Schizosaccharomyces pombe: one gene and its partners. Changing the gene in region 1 together with any one later gene gives a genetic interaction. Each region holds a gene or a part of one and is shown in the gene's direction. Other genes may lie near its edges. The genes, in order: bud20, dni2, SPOM_SPAC9G1.08C and aps1.

Region 1 (5,342 bases):
CAATTATGACATGTCCATCTCGCTTCAGTGGAGGTCGAATTATACGTGGCCAGTTTTTAAGAGTTGGAGATGTAACATTCACATTTTCTAGTAAATCCTCATCATTCTTGAACCTTTGTGTGGTATTATTAAGCGGTCTAGTTATACCCTTTTGAATAACAACATAACTGTAATGAGAGCGATCCGAGGATCGACGATGAGAACGAGGGACATATAGACGGGAAAATGGGGATAGGAAAAAATGTTGTTTGAAAGAACAAATATTTGCTCTTACCCCATTTTCTATATCAATGGGGCAGCGACCATCGTGGGGACAGGGTGCTACAATATGGGCATTGAATTGTTTATCAGAAGTATTTTTACTTTTTTGCAATAGAAATGTTCTAGCTCTTTGAATCAAACTAAAGCCACGCTTTGTGCCTCGCTCGCAGAGCACCAAAAGACCACCATCATTTGACACGAGACTCCAAAGCGAACGAAGATAATCAAAGAGTTCTTTCTCCGATTTCATTTCAAGAAGCTTGTTAGATGCAATAACTAGAGTGTATGAATCCTTTTTACCCAATGGTAGACGGTTAAGCGTAACAGGGCTAGTTGGATTCGGCGAAGTTGACGGGTAAATGTTATGGTGAATATCATATATGATTTTTTTCAAAAATGGGTTCTCCTCAACAATTGAAACTGAATTAGGTGTGGGAAAGACTGAATAACTAGCTAGAGCACCAATACCTGGACCTTTACCGCAATCCAGTATATGTTGAGACTTGCAAGACACATCACTGTTTACAATTTTCAAGTCAGTCAATACGCTGTATAGAGAAGCATATTGATACGGCATAGACTGATGAATATAAGCTAAAACTTGGGGATCTGTCATAGTCCGAGTAGATTCATCTTTGAATGGCGCAGACAATGGAAGCTGAGATTCCGTAGCCAAATCTTTTTTAATATCATTAATAAATTTTTTAATTTGTCCTTTTTCGCTCTTTTTCAATAAATCGTCCACATATAGATTAAATTTTGTATGCAAACTAATATCACCACTTTTCTTTTGATCCTTTACCAAAAAGTCGAGTAAACTGGAAGCTTCTGGACGATGTGAAGAGATCAATTCGTTTTTATAATCAGAAAAGTTGTTTTGAACAGCTTGAAAATTTGCATTATACCACCTAATGGTAGTGGTTGTTCCATATGGTATGAGACATCGCTGATTTTGAAAAGTAAAGCAATTCCGTAAATTATAAAGAAACAGAATTTTATATCTGCATGTTAGAATGGGCATATGTGCTGCTCAAAACACCAATTCACCAATGAACAATGGGATTTGGGGATAAAGCACTGATCTGTATATTGTGTAGAGTAAGTGCCTGATTAAGTGGCCGCAGATGGTGTTACTTGCGTTGACAGAAGAATGAATAGTACAATTTCCTACATATCTATATGTTTTATGTTTATTAAATTAGTTCAAGGATAGGCAATTCTGTCTGAGTGAATATTCTCCCAGTTTTAGCTTCTTATACACTTCAAAAAAATGCAAAACTTTGAACTTCTTTGAAAATAAGAACAAGTAATAAATTTTATGATAGTAAAGGAATTATCAAGAAATAGCTAAAATTAGTTTTAGCATTACACTTGATCAAGATAGACTCTTCACATTGATAGTTCTACAGATACCTCTTTAACCTTACCATTCTATTATACTAGGGTAATCTTCGATTTACGAAACATTCCTTGTTAACTAACTACAAACGAAAAGTTGCCGGAAAAAAACAGCCTACATTCCTTGAGTATTTTCATGAAAATTCGGTAATTCTTTTCCATTTGGTTTATATGAGAAGTTTGCAATTGTACAATAATAATTCAAAATGCCCTCGAAAAGAAAAAGAAATCCTTTACAATATCAGACTTCAGGATCATTAGATGAGGAAACAAATCAACGCAGCGCTTTTCCACAAATCGACAACAATAGTGCTTCAGAATCTTTGGAATATGATATACCACTTGATGGTTTAGATTATTTAGCAACTGTGAGGTACGAACATTTATATATGAATTTTTGTGAAAATCGAAATTTGCAACATGAATGCTTTAATCTAATCATTGTAACAATAATTGGGCTTTTTACTGACAAGTTCAGAGAAGAAGCTCGCAAGCTAGTTCCATTTGTAGCGGCGCGTCGTGAGCCTGAAACAAGAGAAACCATTCCTCTTCGCAAATTGGAAATCGAGGCCGGCAAAAAAAGCTTTGACCCGTTTTTACGATACTTACTAAACATAATTGATAAAGAAGGGGAAAGGCTTGAGCAATATATGGAATCTTCTTCATTGGACGCATCTATTTTACCTAAAAATTTACAACAATGGCGTGTATATATTGAGCATAAAGCTCCTTGTTGGGCCATATTAGCAGTGGTTGATTTGGCAACTGTTTTGGAGATCCTAGAAAGCTTGTCCAGCTGGCTTGAAAAGGACGCAATTGATTTACAGGTTGGTAACAAGGATCTCATGCTACTTTGCTGGTGTATTTTTGTTCATTCTAAAATTTGCTAACATTTTTCTAGAGTCAATGGATTTTTTGCTTTTGTTATAAACTTCCTGAGCTTTTGAATGGAGAAGATATATCGACCCTACGTTCAGTACTCAAGTCTTTACGAAGTACGCATACTTCTTTTCCTGCTCTGCAGATGTCAGCATCTGCCCTTCAAGCAGTCTTAGTTTATCGATATGGACAAAAAGATCTCTTTCAAACATAGAGTCTATAAATCTTGGTCGAAAAAAATTTAGGTACACATGTTCATATAGCATACGTTTGTTTATAGGGAAAAAATTAAAATTGATAGCTTGTTTTAAATATGTTTTTAGGATATTATTACTTTTTTGAATGAAAACATATGCTACACGGATATGCTGGGCTTTGCATCTTTGAACATGTGATTAAGCAAGCTTGGAGATAGCTGCAATAAACAATTTGCCTATTACAAATCGATAGATATATTTTAAAAAAACACGTTTGAATTGAGATAGGCAAAGTTATTTGTTTATTGATTCACATTTTCATTTTACAAAAAATGGCTTACTATTTGTTTAGTACGTGCATTCGTTTTGCTGTCTGCATACTTGTCGAATCGAGGGTTTCAATTATGTTATTACATGATAACTAGCAACTTTCTTTAATTCGCGCCCCATCTTACGAAATTAACTAATAAATTTTTACTGTCTTTTTCGACCGAGTGATTTTTTACCCATATGAGGTTTTTCAAATTCAAAACTAATTGAACATTGCAATTATTCTTTGGGAAAAAACAAAAGTCAAATAAAGATAAAATAAAAAAGAAATAATTACAACCTCACTGCCAAGAACCCCTTCGTGGTTAATTGAATCTTTTGAGTTCGAGCAATCAAGCTCCTTTTGTAAAACTAAATGTCACTAAAATTGCTCACACTTCAGTATAGCAGTCTAAATGGAGAGCTCAATTTTTTCCTTGCTGATAAGCGGACTCTGATCTCGCTACGTGAATACTTTCTTTCCTTCGACTAAACGTCAACTTGTCGAGACTTTGATGAAATAGTGGCAGTTAAAGCCAGAAAGCTACTGAATGTTAATTCATTTCTTCTATAGTTGCCATGTACTAAGAATCACGCCTAAAGCAATTTTCCCTAATAAATTCCGATGCTAAACATCCCTTAAATTACAAAGTTTTGTCAAACGATGGAGCAATCGTCGCTTAAAAAGCGCAATTTCAAAGGCATGCATTTCAACTTGCTTTGACCATGCTCTCCCAAATTTTGAACGAATATTTATTTATTAAAAAATTTACGCTACTTGAGCTATTCAGAACAATCAATAATACATATCTAATACATTTCTCTTGCTTTTCAACTATATAACGAGGCTTTCCTTCTCGTTATTAAACTTATCGCAAACTACGATAGGAAAATAAGATTATTTGAGAATTATTTTTCACTATACGATATAGCACACATTACGCCGTTTGGATATTGAATGTGTTTACGCTTAAAAAAGTTTATCCTTTGCAACTAACATTGTAATTGTGGTAAACGGGTTTGTTTGAAGTGACGGACAATGGGAAGAGTTGCCAGAAAAAGAAAGCATCATAGCAATGGAAATCATGCTTTGTTTAGAACTCGTGTTTATGGGAGGTATGCAAATTTCATGGTCATTCAATCATCGTTTGGTAAATTAACAATTGGACAAATAGAGACTTAGATCAGATTCACAATGACTTAACAGAGTCTGAGAAATTTGATAAATTACCTATAGATCCGGATTTGCCAGGTTTAGGTCAACATTATTGCATTGAATGTGCACGGTACTTTGACTCGTCTCAAGCATTGCTGGTGCATAAGAAGGGAAAGGTTCACAAACGAAGGTTAAAAAATTTGCGTGAAGAGCCGTATACACAAGAAGAAGCAGAAGCTGCGGTGAATATTGGACAGCCAAAACAGAGTGTAGCTTCCAAGCTTGCTGACAATAGTAACGTTGTCATGGCGGACTAAACTAGAGACACATTTACGAATGCTAAGTTAGTCAGCACTTTTGCTTTTGTTCCATATTCGTAGCGCATGCTCTTTATTTAAACAGATTTTTATATGTCTCATTCTCATTTATTCTGCTATATTATCATTAGCAGCGTTTATTGGTAATTTTAGTTGCATCCATGTTTGGATTACAAATTTACAACTAATACCTTACCATTGGTTACTGGATGTTAATCTAGCTTCAAGAGTGAGCATCTCAAACTACCTTCACGTTATTTTGGTTTCTTTGGATACATGGTGTTTTAAATAAATAAAATTTTTTTGATAATTTTTTCATAACGCATTCGCTATCATTTAACAAAATCCTCGTAAAAAAACAAATTCATCAAAGAACGTTTCATTAGACGCATAGATTCATTTCCTATAATGAACTTTCCGTAGCCACTACCATGTTACAAATACCATTAGTTAATTCATAAGTGCCTGGCGTCTGTAAGATGAACCAATAATAGAATAAAAGAAGTGTTACTATTGCATCCTTACCTATTTAACCCTCAAATCAACAACTTGAAGTTTCGAGTTAATTTCTCTAACATGCCCAGGCTGAGCAACCATCGTATAAACTTTTCCCTCATGTGGATGAAAAAGCCCAGGTTTTCGACACTTGACTATAGTTTGTAGTCCCTCAGGATCTAATAAACGGAAGATGCCAGAGCTAAAAGTCGTTAATATATGTAGAAAAAAAAATTTTTTTCTTACGTATTTTTGGAAGGAGCCATAACAATTGCAATAGCTTCAGGTAGCATAAGCTGGTATGAACAATGAGTATGCAAATCCACGCTA
Region 2 (5,331 bases), on another chromosome or scaffold:
AATTTTGCGTCGTTACATCGAAAAATCAAGTTCATCTTCTTTCGTTAAGTAAAGGTTCGTGGGAAGTTACAAATACAATATCTTGCGAGAAAACGCCTCTTTTGTTTTGCGCAACGGTACAAATAAGTGGAAATGAAATTTACATAGCTTCTGCTTCCGCTTTTCAGCAAATTTACGTGTGGAAATTCAATTATAACAATCCACCTTCTTGTGTTTCCATTGACACCTACCTTGTTGGACACGAAGGTGCTTGCTTTGATCTCAAGTTTTCATCGGATGGACGTTACCTTTGCTCAGTTTCTGAAGATCGTACCCTAAGGCTTTGGTCGATCGAGTCGTCACCCTTTTTAATAGCGACAGGCTTTGGTCACTCAGCTCGTGTTTGGCGTTGCGTGTTTCTACCCAACAAAGAAATAGCCACAGTTTCTGAAGATTTGACCTTACGTCTCTGGACTTGGAATGATAAAACGCTCACTAATACTTACACATATACTGGTCATCGCGGGAAACACATATGGTCACTAGTTGTCTCCTCTGCGAACCCAATAATATATACCGGTGGAAATGATGGATCAGTTAGGTCTTGGGATTACAAAACTCGTATTCAGGAATCCTGCATCTCAGTATCCTCATTGTTCACCTCAAAGACTTTGCTTGCTTCTTTTTGTTTTGTTAAATGTCAAAAATTATTATGCCTTGCCAAAAATGGGTAAGCGATTTGCATGCTATCAAATATTCATCTGTCTAACCCAATTAATTTAGAGAAATGTCAATTATAGATAATAAAGGAAAAAAAGCTATTCCTGCTTTGACTACCACATCGGACATGTCTATAATTCGTTCTTGGAAAAACTCTTTTTTTGTTGCTGCTGCCTCCAACAAAGGTACTATATATGTGTTTTCATATCAAAATACGAATTTATTAAAAGCTATTGATTTGCATAGGGGAAAGATTCAGCAACTGCTTACTTATCAAGTTAAAGAAAGATATTTTCTACTATCAAAATCATTTGTAGGAAAAAACCAATTTCGAGTTTACTTACAGGAATTTGATTTTGAAGCCGATAAGGTCAACCTAATTTCAACAATAGAACTGGAGTTGCCGGCAACATTTGATCCGACTTCTCTTACAGTTGATGAAGAATATTCAAATTTTTTAATTGGTTCTCGAACAGGATCGCTGGCTTTGTACAATATTGGTGAAAGCAACTACCTTTCTGTATGGAGGAGAATTCATGAATTTGATGCAATTTCATCCATTCACATCAAGTCGTCAAAACGTGATTACCTCTTAATTCAAACAGTCGGACGTGATGGTTATGTCAATTTATTTTCAATTCCGAGGGTAGAAAAAAGTGCTGTTCCTCAGGAGCTGTGTTCGAAAAAATGTTGTGATGGTATACTAAGCGGGGTGAGTATTATCTTTAAGAATATACGGTTCATGGTTCAGCTAACATATGCTAGGGTTTGTGTAAAAAATTAAAAAATGGAAAGGAAAATCAATGGGTTTGGGGTTTTCATGCATCAAATTTTTTTTTAAGGGATGAGACAAATGAAACTAATGTTTTCTTTATTGATTGTGGAGGTAGTCATCGTCCATGGGCTTTTTCAATGGAGATGGACATTCAAAGTTTTGCATCTTATAGAGCAAATCAACTTTATATTTATAGCACTGCTTTAAATCTTTTGCAAAGAAATTCTGTATTACAAAATGGTTTGCATGGGCGTGAGATTCGAGCAATGGATTTCAATCCTTCAGGGGATCTTTTATTATCAGGATCTGAAGATACTAAAGTAACCCTGCTTGAGTTTCAGAGTAATGGAAACATAATTCCTCTGAATTCTGTCAAGTTTCATAATTCAGGAATCCAATCGCTGACCTGGTTTAGCGATGATATTTTATTTTCCACTGGTGGTCTTGAAGAGTTAAATGTTTATAGGCTAATACAAAAGCCAGAGGCATATCTGAAACGGATCGTTCATGAAAAACTCTGCAAACCAAATAAAAGTAACAAGACTTACGATGGGGATCTTCGAATAACTGACATTTCTGTTGTAAAGGCAACCCATCTGGGTGAAAGAGTGTTATGGATTAATACTGTACAGTCCGATTCGACTATCAAAGCATTCACTTATAACGTAGATACGAAGCAGCTAAATTGTATAAAAAGTTGGAAATATAAGACAGTTTGTTTGGTTTTTGCCGAGGCTGTTATTTTCGGGTCTCATTTATTGTTGGTGGTTGCTTCGACTGATGGTAATGTTGCTATTTGGAACACATTTTGGAGGGATCCTCAAATTGAGCCATTAATAATTTGGATAAAAACAGTGCATCAATTTTGTGTTAAGTCATTAAATATTAGCAGGGATCAAGATGTGTTAACGATTTCTACGGGTGGTGATGATGGTGCAATTTCTCGATCTATACTTTTGTTAGAACAAATAAGTGAAAATTCAGTAGTAGTCAATTCTTTACATAACTACTTTTTTGCTGAAGCTCATGCTTCCAGTGTTACAGGTGTTTTATCAATTACCAAAGAGCTTTTGCTGAGTGTATCCATTGACCAAAGGATATTACTATGGAAAGTCGAGGGTGATTCATTGAAACCGATCCTGGAAAGATATACTCACGTAGCTGATGTGGGTGGCATGATCCGAAATAATGATTTTTTGATAATTTACGGAATTGGTTGCGAAGTTTTTAGACTGGGTTCTTTACGATGATTATTTGCTCAATAATGTCTACTACTCGCCTATTCATTCAGTTTACTCTTATACACTTCAAGGGACCTATCTTTTCATTTATCATGACGATGGTTTAAAAATAATAAATAATTGATTTGATTGAAAGGCGGCACAGCATTTATCGGTATTAAGTATGTGTAGTACTCATAATTTCTTTGTCCTCGAAGACAAAGAAACATAACAGTTACGTGTCAAAAATTTCTTTGTTTCAAAGTATTATAATAGACTTACATTCCATAATAGTTCTTCTATCCCTAAACTAATTTTGCTAAAGTAAACAATTTAAAATTACGGTTTAAGAATGGAAAGAGGAACTAGTAAATTCAGCTGGATTGGACTTGTTGCAAGAATATACAACTATATTCCTCATCCTAGTATTTTTTCGAATGCTATTTTAGGAATTGCATGGCTTTTTTTAATATTTTTATGTTGCAGCTGCTTAACGAAATCATCTATTTTTGCGAGATTACTAAGAGTAAAGAATGAAACAACCACCGTAGACGTCGGTTTCTTTGGAGTGTGTGATCAAGCTATTAATTCAACGTCTCGAGTTTGCCATGAGCTTCGAAATTGGGATCAAACAACTGGTGGTTTAGCATATGAAACTTCGAGATTTGCGTGGCTTCAAGTTCATCCTGTTCTCCTCGCGATTGTTGTTGTATTTTCAACACTATCCATTGTTTTGACTATTTTAAAGTACTTGGCTCCTGCATACATACGCCAATGGTCAATAAGTTGTTTAACTACTAGTACAGCCGCCTGTTTGCTTTTAGCACTCCAAATGGCTTTAGCTCATATTTCGGCTAATTCATATGCTGTAGGAATGAATTTAACTGGGAAAGCTACAGCAAAATTTGGGGTAGCTGCAGCAGTTTTTGGGTGGATTTCCAGTGGATTCTTTTTGCTATTTTCGCTAATACATTTGGGACTTTGGACTATTGAACGAAACAAGCAAAAGTTATTTGAAGAAACATCTCTCTCATTTAGCTTGTAATTATTACGAAAAGAATGTTGGACGACATTGAAATGACTACTATTAAGTAAAATCGCACTTATGATACTCTTTAAACGTATATGACAGATACCCTTTTGACTTTTTTAAAACTATAACTAAATTTCATTTAATTAACACATAAAACAGCATTACTACTAAATTAAGATTAATTGAAACACAATACTTCATTTGCAAAGACTATTAAACAAACATAAATAAGATTTTGTAAACCATATTACTAATTTGAGCAAAAATGTATTGAGAATTAGCTTTTAATGAATCATAAACCATTAAATATAAATTAACTAATGTTGAAAACAGACAATCTAAAATTGCAAATGTTACGAACCAAACGATCAGATGTATATGCCTAAGATTGGTAATCTAATTATAATATATTGAAAGTGGGAGACTTAAATAAAAAAAAGAGAAAAGAAAAGAAAAGTAGCATAACTTAATAAAGGATATTTTTGAAAAGGGATGGAAAATACTCAACTTTACTTGCGTTTTGTTGGACCAGTCATAGGAGAAGCACGACCAGCAGTCAAATCATCATCGGAATATTTCAACGACGATACATAAGGTCGTTTGTATCGAATGTCATATGTACATTCTTTTCTGATATTTGTACGAAGAATCCATCGCTCGGAAGGTGCTAATGTCTTCCACTGCTGAGCTCCAATATCTCCAATCTCCGATTTTACAATACCAGTTGACATGGACACGTATAATATAGTGCCATAAAGAGAAGGGATATCGGCGACATCAATTTCGTGTATTTTTTCACAGTCATATCCTTCTGCAGCCTCAGCACGCACCGTCCAGTACTCGTCACGATATCTTCCAATCGCCGTAACAATCCACAAGCGGCCAGGGCTACTATTAAAAGACGTATCTGGAGGATATTCGGGTTCACATATAATTGTTGAATTAGAATCGTGTGAATTCCTACGTGAAGAATTAGCGCTAACACTTTCCATTATTTCAGCAATTGGTATGTTAAAAAAAGCATTGCGAATATGGTGAAGCTCTGCGACAGGTACCGTAACAACAGTTGCTATCACATTCTTCACAAACTTGTATAAGGGTAATTTCAAAGATGGGGCTTTCAAATTGTGGGCAGTGAGCATTCCACGTACAAGAGCAATCTCAACTTTGAACTTCAAATACTTGGGAGGTTCGGCGACAGCAATAATTTCAAAATCTGCATTTTTATTCTTTTTTTTTCGTTCTGTCAACCAGGCAGAAAATGCTTCTATATGGGAGGGTCGATCTTCATATATCCTCGTGGAGTTAATATATAGGAAATGACGGTAAACTTCATTAAAAAACCAAAGCTTAAAGTTGAGTGTTTGGGGCCAAAAACCGTCAGGAGCTTGAAGTTTAAACACAACCCCTTGGAAATCTAAACCCTTGCTTGCAATGATTTTTTCCACGATTCCTCGAAACCCTTCGTTGCGGCCAGTAAGTAATACCGCTAAAACATCAGGTCGACGTATCGATTCTCTGGCTTGTGAAACACTATACACATTAATAACTATAGACACATGATATATGTTCTGATTCCATCTTTTCAATGCCAAAGTCGACAG
Region 3 (6,512 bases), 2.9 Mb from region 1:
AACCAGAAATCACGTTTGCCCCAACTTACAAGTACGACGTTCATAGTGAGCAGTACGACAGTAGTGAAAAAAAGCGTGTGCCTGCCTGGTGTGATCGTATCTGTTATCGTGGAAGTCCCGACTACATCTCTGCAGAAAACTATACCAGGTACGAACTGAAGGCATCAGATCACCGACCAGTATCTGCTTTAATACATTCCAAAGCGAAGATGGTAAATGCGCAATCTCAGGGGTCCACATGGGACGTGGTCAAACGAAAGTGGATTGAGTATGCTGATGAATTTAAGAGAAAGGCTAAGTATGTTTTTTTTTGGAGAATTTTGCTAACCAACCAGAATAACCTATGTCATGAATTATACTTCTGTGTCTTATCAAACGGCTGAACAATATTTGTCTGGAAATAACTGGAATGTACAAAATGCTTTAAAGCAAGTGTCAAGTTGATTTCGAATAGTTCTCGTTTGGATGTGTTTATATATATTATGTAGATTAAATTATAGTAGAATATGCCATTATAAGTTCATTTAAATACAAAATTGTGAATGCTGTAAACAGGTTGTTTACGAGTTTTTAGTAAGCTATCCATTTAGACTTCTTCTTTTCTCAGTTTCTTCAAGCCACCGTGAAAATAGTAGTTGTGATATGGGGCTCCGCTTTTGCTTTTTGTGATGCAGTCTGTTGTCTGGAGTAATTTGGTTAACAAATTTTGAGGACAGATTTTTATCTAAAGAAATGAAAGATGTATAAAAAGATTCTAAAGATGAGCGCTGCGTTGCTGACAATTTATCATTTAATAACATCGATCGTATGGTGGACTTAATATAATGTTTCATAGCAAAATCGGAAGTCAACGATTTATGATAAGAGCTACCTTTTTCAGACAATGACTTGGAAAAAGGATGCGGTGTCGCTTGATCACTCATTATAGTTTTCTCTAAATATTTTATTGATGAAGGCAATTCCTCTTTATTTTGTGAACTGATGATGGAATTTTTAGGAATGCTAGTATTCCCTAACACAGTTGAGTCAGATTTCTTTACAGTTTCAAATGTCCAATCCTCAATGTCAGCATTTCCTTCAGCAATTGGTTCTTCAAAGGGCTTTAAAGTATTATTTATGGTTTCTTCCAATACACTTTGATCCGAATCATCAAATAATTTATTCTCCTTCTGAACAAGCAAAGGAATAATGTCTTTCACAGTTCCTGCGCTTTTGATGAATGGGTGTTGAAGGAGTTCTTTAGCTGACCATCGCATATTAGGATTGAGATCTAAGCAGCAGGACACAAAATCACGGAATGTTGGACTGAAATGATCATCTAGCTTTGGAGGCTCGGATTGAGGAATTTCAAAGATGACACGCATTGGATGCATTGTAGCGCGGGGCGGAATTCCGTTAGCCATTTCAATAGCCGTAATTCCAAGAGACCAAATGTCAGCAGCTAAACCATAACTTGTTTGTTGTATTACTTCCGGTGCCATCCAAAATGGCGTTCCAACAAACGTGTGTCTACGCGAAGCAGCGTTCGAAAGTTGAGCGGCAACTCCAAAGTCAGCAAGCTTTACGTTTCCGGTAGAGGAAGATAGTAGTATATTGGCGGCTTTGATATCTCTGTGGATTTTGTTTTGTCCATGAAGATAATTTAGCCCATAAAGGACCTCTCGAAGAATGATTGAAATTACTTGTTCATTCAACCTTCCCATTTTCAAAAGTCCCGAAACTGATCCTCCATCCATATGCTCCATCAAAATCCATAATGTGTATCCGTCAACAAAACAACCGTAATACTGAATTACATTGGAACTGTTGCAATTCGATAACATAAATACCTCTTGTTCGATGTCGGTAATGTCGTCAATACCTGTTTCTAAATCAATCTGCAACTGTAAGTTTTTTGTGATACTAAAGAAGAGTAAAAATTAATTAGTCTTACCTGTTTAATAGCGATAATGTCGCCAGACACATTTTCACGTGCTTTCCAGACAACCCCAAATGAACCTGATCCTAATTTCCGTAGCAGAGTATAAGAATTAGCATTGAGAGGATACATTTCATCAATATTTTGACTGCTCAAATCTGAGGTTGAGCCTACTTTCGGTTTCGTTTTACAAGCACAAGCTAGATGCACCACGAAGTACTTTGTTTATTACTTAGAGGATTATAATGAGCTACTCCGAGACGCCTATTCCAGTAAACTTAACATTACCAACTTGTTACGAAGTATATATAATTAGACTAGTTTATTATAAAGTATCGAGTTTTATGTCTGAATCTACCAAAGAGACAATAGAAGTTTTATACGAAATAGGAACATTGCTTGGAACTGAACTTGATAAAACAACGCTTTCACTCTGCATCAGTCTTTGTGAAAACAACGTACACCCAGAAGCAATAGCTCAAATAATTCGGGAAATACGTATGGCTCAGGAACAAACTGTTGACACAGAACCAAGTTAATGGCAAGAAGTTTAATCTCAATAGTTGACCTCGGGGTTTAGTATTTCTTTTATCTAATGTCTTCTTTAAACAGTGTTCTACCTTCAAATGCATGCGCAGAGATTATTGAAGGGAAAGACAAGGTTCACAATGTAGTTATTTTAATGCATGGACTTGGAGATTCTCACAAGAGTTTTGCAAATATGGCAAAGAACGTTCCGTTGCCCAACACTAGTTATATTTCCTTACGTGGACCATATCGATTACCATTAGATTTTGAAAATCCTGGAGGCAATTGGATGTGGGGAGAGGATGTCCATTTTGATCAAAACGGGGAACTGCAATCTGAAGCCGATTTCTCTAAAAGTTTTACGATGATTTCAAATTTAATTGGCAATCTACTCTCTTACGGTATATTATCTTCTAGAATATTTTTTTTCGGGTTTGGTCAAGGAGCTATGGTTGCTTTATATAGTTGTTATAAATTGTCTACTAAATACCAGCTTGGAGGGATATTTTCCTTTGGAGGTACTCTACCGCTATCCATAACTTTGCCCAATCATCCATTTCATGTTCCAGTGTATTTGTTTGAAAAGCGATTGCATTGTTCATGCAGCGAATATGAAGAATCGCGATTACGTAAAACATTTAAACCATTTCACCTCACATGTTGGAATCGTGATGATAAAACTGACATGCCTTCATCCCCTAGAGAATGGTATACATTCGTTCAATCTATTAGTAAACATTTGTATATTCACAACACGTTGTTTGAAGATGCAATTCCTCTTACATCTTTTTAGAATTGATTTATTTAAGTTAACATTTGTTCACAATAAAGTTAATATTCATTTGGGCATAGATATAACAATAACTCCTCTAGCCATTATGTGATTAAAATTAGTACGTTTACCTTTTGATCATTAAGATTTTCAATCGACAAGATAACTAAGATCCGGAAGCTTATCAACAATTCTATTAATTAGTTGATTTTGGTCAACTGTTTTTATATTTCCACGCCCTGCTCTCTCATTATTAAGAAACGAAGTATTGATCGATTGAATAACAGCCGGAGTGTCTTTAGGAGCTGACAATGAAGTAGAAGGTGAACTAAAATTCTGAAAAATTAGAGTATTTGGCTCAACTTGAGACTCTTCACTTACATCATCAACGGAAGCAGAAGCTAAATTCGATGAGTTTTTCGAGGTATCTTGGGAACTGACCCATGAACCCCATTCAAAATTATCAGAGGTTGGATCCGGGGAAAGAGACGTTGATGAATTTTTTTTCTTCGTTTCTCTAATTTTTTCTTCAGAGTCAAGTTTAGCGATTGATGAATGTTCTTCGACTTCATCAACTTTTTTACGATCCAAACTTAGTGGTGATTTTGGAACAACTTCATCCTCTTTATTTATTGAAATTGTAGAACAACTGTTGCTTTCCCTCTCAATCAATTTGACTGGGGAAGAAAGGAAAGTATTTGCAGATAATTTGTGATCCTGTTTAACAGCAACTGTATTATTTAAAAGAGCCGTAGAAGAAGAATAATCCTTGGGAATTTCATTCGATGATAAATTAGAAAAATCAAGTATATCTGAAGGAACATTTATACTGGAAATCTTGGTCGTAGAAAAATTAGATAAAGGAGACTGTTCCGGTAACAAAATATTTTTGTCATTGATGGGCGGTGTGACAGGTGAATTGGTATAGCTTGCTGTTTTCCTTTTCTGCTTCTGATAAGCTGTTGACCAACAAAAAAGCACATTGCTTTTTCGATTTACATTAGACCGTTCTTGGTTCCATAAAGTCATATGTTCTTTAAGTAAACGACTAATGGTTCCTTGTTTTAGTTCTCCTAAACTTTTCTCATTGTATCCTAAGCGGATTAATTGTCTAAAATTGGTTTCCGAGGTAGCTGTAATACCTATATAATCTTTGGATGCCAATGAAATCCGTTTAGGAGGCTTGACAACGCCAAATGTGTAATCCAACTTTTCATTAATATCTTTCAAATTAAATGTGTCAAGATTGAGAGCATTTTCTTTCCAGACTGATGCCTCCATTGAAAAACTGACATCGTTAGTAATTGAGGGAATTGCTGAATTCGAGTTGGATATATTTTCACTACCCCATGCATTATGAGGATTAGAGGCGTTCGAAAAACTAACAGAGTTCAGCAAATCATCCATATAAATCACATTCCAGTTCTTTAAGTTGTAGATTCTCAATTTAATAATATATGAGTGGATAAAAAAAACGTAGGTGCCATCAACTTCGGGTTAAAAAGAAAACAAAAAGAGCCTTAACTATACTTCTTTTATAAAAGGAACCTTTTTAGAGTATTAGTATAAATGCTCAAGATGAGTTGAAAGCGGTTCGGCTAGGGTAAGCGACTTAAGCCACCACATCGTGTGCAACGCAAGTAGGCAACTTAAATCCGTTCAACGTATTTAGTGTGAAATTAAAAATAAAATAAACTCAATTAAATTTCCGGAAGAAGAATAAATTTTATAAGTAATCATTTTAAAATAGGACAGAGTTTTTTAACAAATTTTAAGCTAGTAAACAATTAATCTAATACTCTGGCGAAAGTTGCTAGCTTTATTAAAGAGGAATCTCATATGGACTGAAGCATCGTGCAAATTTTTGAAAATTACATTTGGTAAATTAAAACCTAGATTATTTCATCTAAATAATATGGCTTAAAGTGCGCATAAATATGGATGCTGGTTTCAAATCATTTGAATATTATGTCTTGTGCAAAAAGCTCTTTAAAAAAATTACAGAAGTGCAAATGTACCACATATTTCAAGTTAAAATGAACCCTTCTAGGACTTCTAACAATTTTAGTAAATTTTCTCACTAAATCAATTATAATCTACATGAAATGAATCTAACATCGCACTCTTTATCGTTAAAGAATGTTTCATGGTAGCCAAATATCTTTCTTTTTTTAATTTTCCTAAAATGAAATTCTAGTATGGTTGAATTTATTACCGATCTGCATTTTATCGAGTATTATTGAAAATATTTCCATTTTTTAATTGTGCGCTAAGTATATAAGTCGCGTTATTAGAAAAATTATGATGTACTCGGTTAATTGAGCTCTAAAAAAAAAACAAAGTTATTAGTGTACTTCGCTTAAATAAGAATCTTATCTTCACATTCATACACAACTCACATCACGTTACGGAACTTCCGCTCCGCTCGTTTTTTATATTAACTACCAAAGACTATAATTTCATTCCTTTAAGCCTTCAGGAATGTCCATTCCTAAACAACTACCATGCATGGTACGTGCTCTGTATGCATGGCCAGGTGAACGTGAAGGTTCGTAACATTTAAAGATGCTGTTAAGTAACGTCGCAATTATTGATGTAAAGTTTAAAAAATATATATTAATGTGTTTTCAGGTGATTTAAAATTTACAGAAGGAGATTTAATAGAATGCTTAAGCATAGGTGATGGAAAATGGTGGATTGGCAGACATATCAATACTAATACACAAGGGATATTTCCTAGCAACTTTGTTCACTGTTTAGATATTCCCACGGTACGACCTGGCAGTTCTATGTCAAGAACTAGCGCTTCTAGCTTTAGATATTCTTCTCCTCAAAAAAGCTCTATAGACACCCCAATAACTTCATCTGATCAAGGTCTAACTCCTGATCTCGTTGGAAGCTCAAATGCTTTGAATAAACCAACCCGAGAGAGTGACTCACTAAAACACCAAAAAAGTCACCCCATGCTCAATTCGCTAGGATCAAGTCTGTCACTTAAGAAAAGCGTATCTAGACCGCCATCTTCAATGTCTCGTACCAACTTAGATGTCTCTTCCAGATGGGACAATACAGCCGATAACGACTCTCAGATTGATGCCCAAGATTTAAGTAGATCTACACCTTCCCCTTTAAGAAGTGCTATGGAAAATGTTCTTCAATCGTTAAATGCAATGGGCAAAAAAAGTTTTAGTCGAGCGAATTCCCCTCTTTTAAGACTTACGAAAAGCACTACAACTAGCAAAGAAACGGACTTCATTCCTGTCCCTCCTGCACATGGGTCCACAAGTATGACTT
Region 4 (5,907 bases), 4.7 Mb from region 1:
GTTCTCCTTTAAAGTAACTAGCCAAAGGACCATTTCCCTGAGAATCATTCTGTAAAGCTTCAAATCTGTATGCACTGAAGGCTCCTGGTAGTACGCTGATAAACCCAAACACGCTTTCTACTGGTTTGTCGAGTATATTGCTCATTTTATATTCAAAATTCTGAGTAGCTACCAATGGATTTATTAAACCGGAACCCAATTTTCCTTTCATAACGACAATTTCACCACAAGCGCCAGCAACTTGAGGATTCAAATCAAATGATTTCCATAAATGATAAATGGATTGGTCCCCCGGACGTGTTCCAGCATCTAAAAGAATGCACACCTCTGGCTTTAGGATTGGGCAAAACGCTTGAAAAAACCACAAATGGGAGTTTAGTTTTTTTTGATTTTTCTCCTTTAAACAAAATATCATCTGAACAGGAACAATACCTCTATCAGATCCTTTGAACTTTAAATTAGGGTCAATAGACAGCTGTGTAGTATATTCGTATATATGTGCTTTTACTTCCTTATCATTGACCTGATTTTTAGCAATTCCGTCTTGATAAACTCCGATTGCAGCTAAATAAGCAAGTGTTCTTGGATGTATCTTGGTGCGACCGTCAGAGATTATACACACAACGACTTTCTTCCAAGCGTCCTTCCCCCAAACTTGAGAATTTTTTCTTGTACATAAATGTGAAATATTCTTCATGACACTATGCATGGTACGAGCGAACAGAACTTCATCTTCATTGTACATAGTTATAGCAATACAAATTTCAGTTTTTCTCGGCTGAAAGAATAGGGGCTGCCTTAAAGTGAATAGGCTTTTCGAAAAGTCTTGTGGATCACATGTAGCAGCACTGTAGCGCATGTAAGCAAATTCTCGCTCTGTTTGCTGTGGAAGTGTAACCAATAACTTCTTAGGAATTGGACAATCGAGGATGAGATTGCCATGAAATAATTTAACTCGTTTAATACTTTTATTTCTTTGAATTTTTTCATTTGTTCTTTGGAAATTTGCCTCTCGGTTCATAGTATTTCCTTGCTTATTGAAGTTTGAAAAATTTGGTTGAGCAGTAAAACCTTCAAATGGAGATTGAATACTTTCCGTTTCATCTTTTAAATAATAATCGAGATCAAATTCTTTATCAGGAATAATGATTTTCGGTTTTAGAGGTTTTTTATTTTTATCAAATAAAATGGACGAAGTATCACTGTTTAATGACAAATTGGTGATTGTAGGATATAAGTGATTGGTTTCAACAATATCTTTATTTGTTAATCCAGCTGATTCCTCCTCATCAGGAGGGCGTGGTAGCGTTTTTTTGAACCACCTTCTCATCTTCAAGAGCCGTAGAAACGAGCCTCAAATCGCTCTATCAAATATACGCTTAGATTTTTTCTGTAAAGCAGCATCCAAGTTTATGATAGTGAGAATCAATTTTGGGGAGACAATTACAGTTGTAATGATTGAAACAATGGTTTGTTTAACCCTGAATGCTTGTCAACAATGTTTCAATTGCCAATGATTGTAGAAGCCAACGATATGAAAATAAAATATTATAAAAGAAGGAATTGTTATACTCTTTTAATATTTAAATACAAAGAGAGTAAGAAGATTAATGTTTACAAAAGAAAAAAAAGTGATGAGGTGGTGGAAGATTGCAACAAACTAAAGTGTACTTTTTTTATGATTGAAGAATGGCATTTACTCGCTATATTGTATGACAAATCTAAATACATAAAAATAATTATTTGTTCCGTATTGTTAAAACTAAATACAACTGTAATTATAAGAAGGAATACACATACCAAAGTTTATGTTATGAACAAATTTTATCAAAAGCTTAAAAAGTAAATCATATCTCATTATTTATTCATATAAAAAAAATTAAAAAATAACAATTTATACAATGGCTTGCTAAGGTATATAACAAAGCAAACGAAAAGCCAATTTTCTTCCAACATTACTCATTTTATTTAGATATATTATTATTTTAAACGATTTTCTTTTTATTCCAAACGTAATAGAAGTAGTTGAATTGTATAAATTATTGTTTTTTATATAATAAACATTTTTTTTCGCTATAATAATTGTTTTAAATAAAACAGATATTGGGAATTTAAATTATCCAATCTTTTTTTTGTTAAATTATTTTATTTTATTTTCCTCGACATTAAAATGCATCAACAATTGGTTAGTGTTAATTGATTCTCTTACTATCAATATTATCAGATTCAAAAAGCCCAACTTATCAAGAGTTAGTGAAGGAATCAGCAATGATCAGATAGAACAACAGAACAGTAAATACAATGCAAAACTTCGAAAACCGTGTATTAAAAGATTAAGACTTACAGATTTTCTACAAGCGTACTCCTTTTAAAAAGCCTCATTTTGTCCAAAGAATTGATAATGTGGGTATTTTTCGATGCGAAATCTACGAATACAAACAACTTCGCAAATTGGAGATTACTGCATACAAAATGAAAATGTATTTTCCTCGCAAGCTATTTATTTTGAAAAATTATAAATTACCTATTTTCTAATACAATCTCTCATTTTAAATATCACCGCAAATTATTTGGTCTCCGACAACTGTTTAGCGTGTCGGTTTGTACTTCACTATTTCGTTATCCCAACCTAAATCACTGGGAGAAACCTTCGGAAAACCACTTTTCGCGATCGATTTATATTCATCGGAATAGGAGATTTATATCTCTTCCTTGTTCAAAAAGAACTCAGATTCTTTTGAACATCTTGCTTTTGCCTTTTCAGACATCGTTTCCTTACTCTACCATAAGGCAAGAAATTATACCAAATCCATTCAACTTGTCGAAAAGAAGAGTACTTTATAGTTCATATGCTTGAAAATAACGGAAGTGTGATTTTAATGGAGCCGGATCATCTACGGACGGCAGTGAACCGCTCAATGACTTCTCGTGAAGGTCGAACGAAAAATCGATTCAATCCTATTACAGGAGCCAGACTTGCTGCGGGTGTTGTTGCTTTATCTGCAGACAAAAGGAAAGTCCTATTAGTTTCTTCTGCTAAAAAACATCCTTCTTGGGTAGTTCCTAAGGGTGGATGGGAGGCTGATGAATCTGTTCAGCAAGCTGCCCTTCGTGAAGGTTGGGAAGAAGGCGGACTAGTGGGTCATATCACTAGATCCCTTGGGTCTTTCAAGGATAAGCGTCCTACTGATACTATTGACAGAAGGAAAAAATATTTGAAGCAATTAATGTCAAAAAGTAGCGGAAATGACGTCTCAACCAATACCGAGTTAGGAGCCGAAGCAGAGAAATTATTACTTCCACCTAGAGCCGAATGTGAATTTTTTGAAGTTATTGTTGAAAGATTAGAAGACAATTACCCAGAGATGAGGAAGCGTCGCCGAAAATGGATGTCTTATCAAGAAGCAAAGGAAGCGTTGACAAGTCGTAAAGATATTTTGGCAGCTCTTGAGAAGAGCTCTATCATTAAAGAGGAAAACTGAAGTACAGATGCATAATGTTTACCATTTGCAACCTTTTATTCAAATATTTTAATTTACCATTTTTTTTGATTTCTTGCTTCAATATTTATCTTTTTCCATGGGATTACGAAATTGTTATATCTATTAGTTACCATGTCAAGTGTGTTAAAAAGGCTTGAAGTTTGCAAATCTTGATTCTTATTTTTTTTTTCAGCAAGCTGGGTCAAATTGAGTTTTCGACATAAAGCTCATTTCATGAAACATATATCCTTTAAAGGATTTCAGCGGTACAGCATATATTCCAGCAGTTCAACTGCTATTTTTTCTTTCCTTTTTTAAAAGTTTTTACTCTCTTTGTATATTTTCGATTAAGATCATTGTCTGCATAACATACTAATTCTATTTATAAATATATTTTCAATTGAATCGCATGATAATTCAAATTTTTTAAAACAAAGTTTCATTCCTTAAAAAATCATCTAATCCCACCTGTTTGATGCTAGGGTGCGAGTTAATCGTTATCGTTGTGTGCTATGCATAAAAAGCACATTAGTTGCTAGCATATTAATTGTTTGCAACCAATTTTGATTAGTGACGTTAATAAAAACAAAATTGTTCCATACGGTAAAACGTATTCGTTGTTAGATACTAATGAGCCCAAGAAGTTTCGTGTGTCAATTTGAATATGTCGTGTAATTTTATATTGGCTTTCAGCAATCATATAGCTATGAATTATAGTGAATCCATTGACGCTCATTACACTTACGTGCGATAATTTTAAAAAATACTTTTCAATTAGTAGTAAATAGATAGCGAAACGACGAACTATAGCAAACATCAATCCGTTAGTATAAATATTCGTACAAAATGCTTATATAAGAATTTGAGAATTACTTAATATATTTGATTGACGTTGTTCAACGTGAAAATGTACATAAAAGCAATTTATAACCACACCTAAAAATCCAAACAAACTGCAAAATTAAAAACGTAGGATTTAGCAGTTATGTTAGTAAAGCTTCAGCTATCAGAATAAAAAATTTTTAGAAAAAGAAACAAGAAGAAAATACATATATATATTTTTATTTTCAGAACTTTGACGGTCATAGCCAATTCTTTTAAAAATGAACTAAATAGCACTGTCTCACATTCTAACAATTGTCGTTAATCCTGTTAGATCCCAGCATAAGTTTCTGGATCTAATCTGAACGAGAATGTAACGTTTCACAGGTAAATAACTTTGAAGACATAGGGCATAATAGGATAAATAATTGATGAAACAAAACTTTTAATATGCGTTAGTTTAGCCAGGTCAAATTCAACAAATCACTAACAATCTGAATTACGGAAATATCTTTCACATAACTATAGATCCTTAATTTCAAGACAGTTACTGGGAGCAAGTCGTTGACCGTAATAAAGATAACCATAGTTTTCCAATTAAAAAAAGTGAAGTTTTGGAATCGAGCTGTTTTAGAATTCACCCATCTTAATCTTGATTTGAAAATGTCGATTTTTTTTTCTTTCAAAAAAAAAGCGTTGAAGCAAGAACAAAACTTTGTAAATTGAAGCCAAAAATAAACGCATATGCACAAAAAATTTAAATAGAAAAAGAAAAGAAAAAGAAAATTGAGCAAGAACTAATGTTCAAATTGCCTGGATGGCGATGTTTCCTTTGTATTGTTATGTTCAGAAATTACGATTTGTGGTCCAGCGGAATGATCGTTCAAAAGGGCATTACCTAATTCATCCAATTTAAGCTGAATATCATGAGCTAAATGTTGCGAATTGGGAGATTCTTCAACAATAGGTTCCCATCCTACAGGTGGAGATCCAGGAGGGCTAATAAGCCAATTCTTCTCAAACTTCGGAACCTGTAACGATTGGTCTACAGAAATTCCTTCAACATGATTAGGATCATCTAATACATATTGACAATGCACTTGTTGGCCGGAAGGTAGGGAACCAGTACTACTCTTCTTGAGGGTATCCTCTTCAACAGCTTTGTCATTGTAAGAAGCCAACACCTTCCCCAATCCTCGAAGCACTCGAGTAAAAGCAACCGGATTGAGTTGTTGAACAAATTCGTTCAGTTCGTCAACGTGATCGGGACTCGTAGTAAAGACTAACATGAAGAGCAAACAAATATTTCTATATGTACTGGGAAAAGAACATATATATAATGGAAAATGAAAGAAAAATAATTAGAAATAGTCCTTAATTAATCATATGTTGAAGCATGCAAATTAAGAATCAATCTTTTAAAATTTTATAGAATTGGTGGTCCAAATGATTTCCAAATCTAGGGATTTTTTTGTTTATTTTTTGTGTTTTAGATTGAAATCGGGTTTAGTAGGTAAAACAAAAACTTAGAGTATCTAACAGAATATCATTAAAAGAAACGATGAGATTTTTCAAATGTTGGCTTACGAATGAATTTGTCGAC

Evidence for each region.
Region 2: mutations in bud20 (region 1) and dni2 together harm fitness more than expected from each alone (negative genetic interaction), as found in Schizosaccharomyces pombe (one large-scale study listed by BioGRID).
Region 3: mutations in bud20 (region 1) and SPOM_SPAC9G1.08C together harm fitness more than expected from each alone (negative genetic interaction), as found in Schizosaccharomyces pombe (one large-scale study listed by BioGRID).
Region 4: mutations in bud20 (region 1) and aps1 together harm fitness more than expected from each alone (negative genetic interaction), as found in Schizosaccharomyces pombe (one large-scale study listed by BioGRID).

Annotation. Positions count from the first base shown.
Region 1 is NC_003424.3:4,902,918-4,908,259, reverse strand, and holds bud20 (zinc finger ribosome biogenesis protein), read left to right. Parts: upstream 1-4,026; 5' UTR 4,027-4,083; coding exon 4,084-4,160; exon of another isoform or gene 4,161-4,219; coding exon 4,220-4,517; 3' UTR 4,518-4,842; downstream 4,843-5,342. Other genes in the region: rsm22-cox11 tandem protein cox1102, read right to left, coding at 1-1,282; yip11 (SMN complex subunit Yip11/Gem2), read left to right, coding at 1,866-2,032, 2,138-2,486, 2,561-2,752; sst2 (AMSH-like ubiquitin-specific protease), read right to left, coding at 5,043-5,214, 5,259-5,342. UniProt on the Schizosaccharomyces pombe protein: Involved in pre-60S ribosomal particles maturation by promoting the nuclear export of the 60S ribosome.
Region 2 is NC_003423.3:1,181,381-1,186,711, forward strand, and holds dni2 (claudin-like protein Dni2), read left to right. Parts: upstream 1-3,046; coding exon 3,047-3,735; intron 3,736-3,886; coding exon 3,887-3,944; downstream 3,945-5,331. Other genes in the region: protein Trm734, read left to right, coding at 1-709, 763-1,411, 1,465-2,724; SPOM_SPBC4.02C (rRNA methyltransferase), read right to left, coding at 4,237-5,260.
Region 3 is NC_003424.3:1,981,295-1,987,806, reverse strand, and holds SPOM_SPAC9G1.08C (phospholipase), read left to right. Parts: upstream 1-2,457; 5' UTR 2,458-2,513; coding exon 2,514-3,239; 3' UTR 3,240-3,368; coding exon of another isoform or gene 3,369-3,554; 3' UTR 3,555-3,599; coding exon of another isoform or gene 3,600-4,625; 3' UTR 4,626-4,684; downstream 4,685-6,512. Other genes in the region: inp53 (inositol polyphosphate phosphatase), read left to right, coding at 1-298, 336-444; PAK-like GC kinase Sid1, read right to left, coding at 579-1,877, 1,934-2,050; putative mitotic spindle organizing protein Mzt1, read left to right, coding at 2,263-2,457; SPOM_SPAC9G1.07 (Schizosaccharomyces specific protein), read right to left, coding at 3,369-3,554, 3,600-4,625; cytokinesis protein Cyk3, read left to right, coding at 5,700-5,766, 5,850-6,512.
Region 4 is NC_003424.3:197,386-203,292, forward strand, and holds aps1 (diadenosine 5',5'''-p1,p6-hexaphosphate hydrolase Aps1), read left to right. Parts: upstream 1-2,652; 5' UTR 2,653-2,849; coding exon 2,850-3,482; 3' UTR 3,483-4,132; downstream 4,133-5,907. Other genes in the region: chs1 (chitin synthase I), read right to left, coding at 1-1,330; SPOM_SPAC13G6.13 (uncharacterized protein), read left to right, coding at 1,499-1,846; rcn1 (calcipressin), read right to left, coding at 5,102-5,593.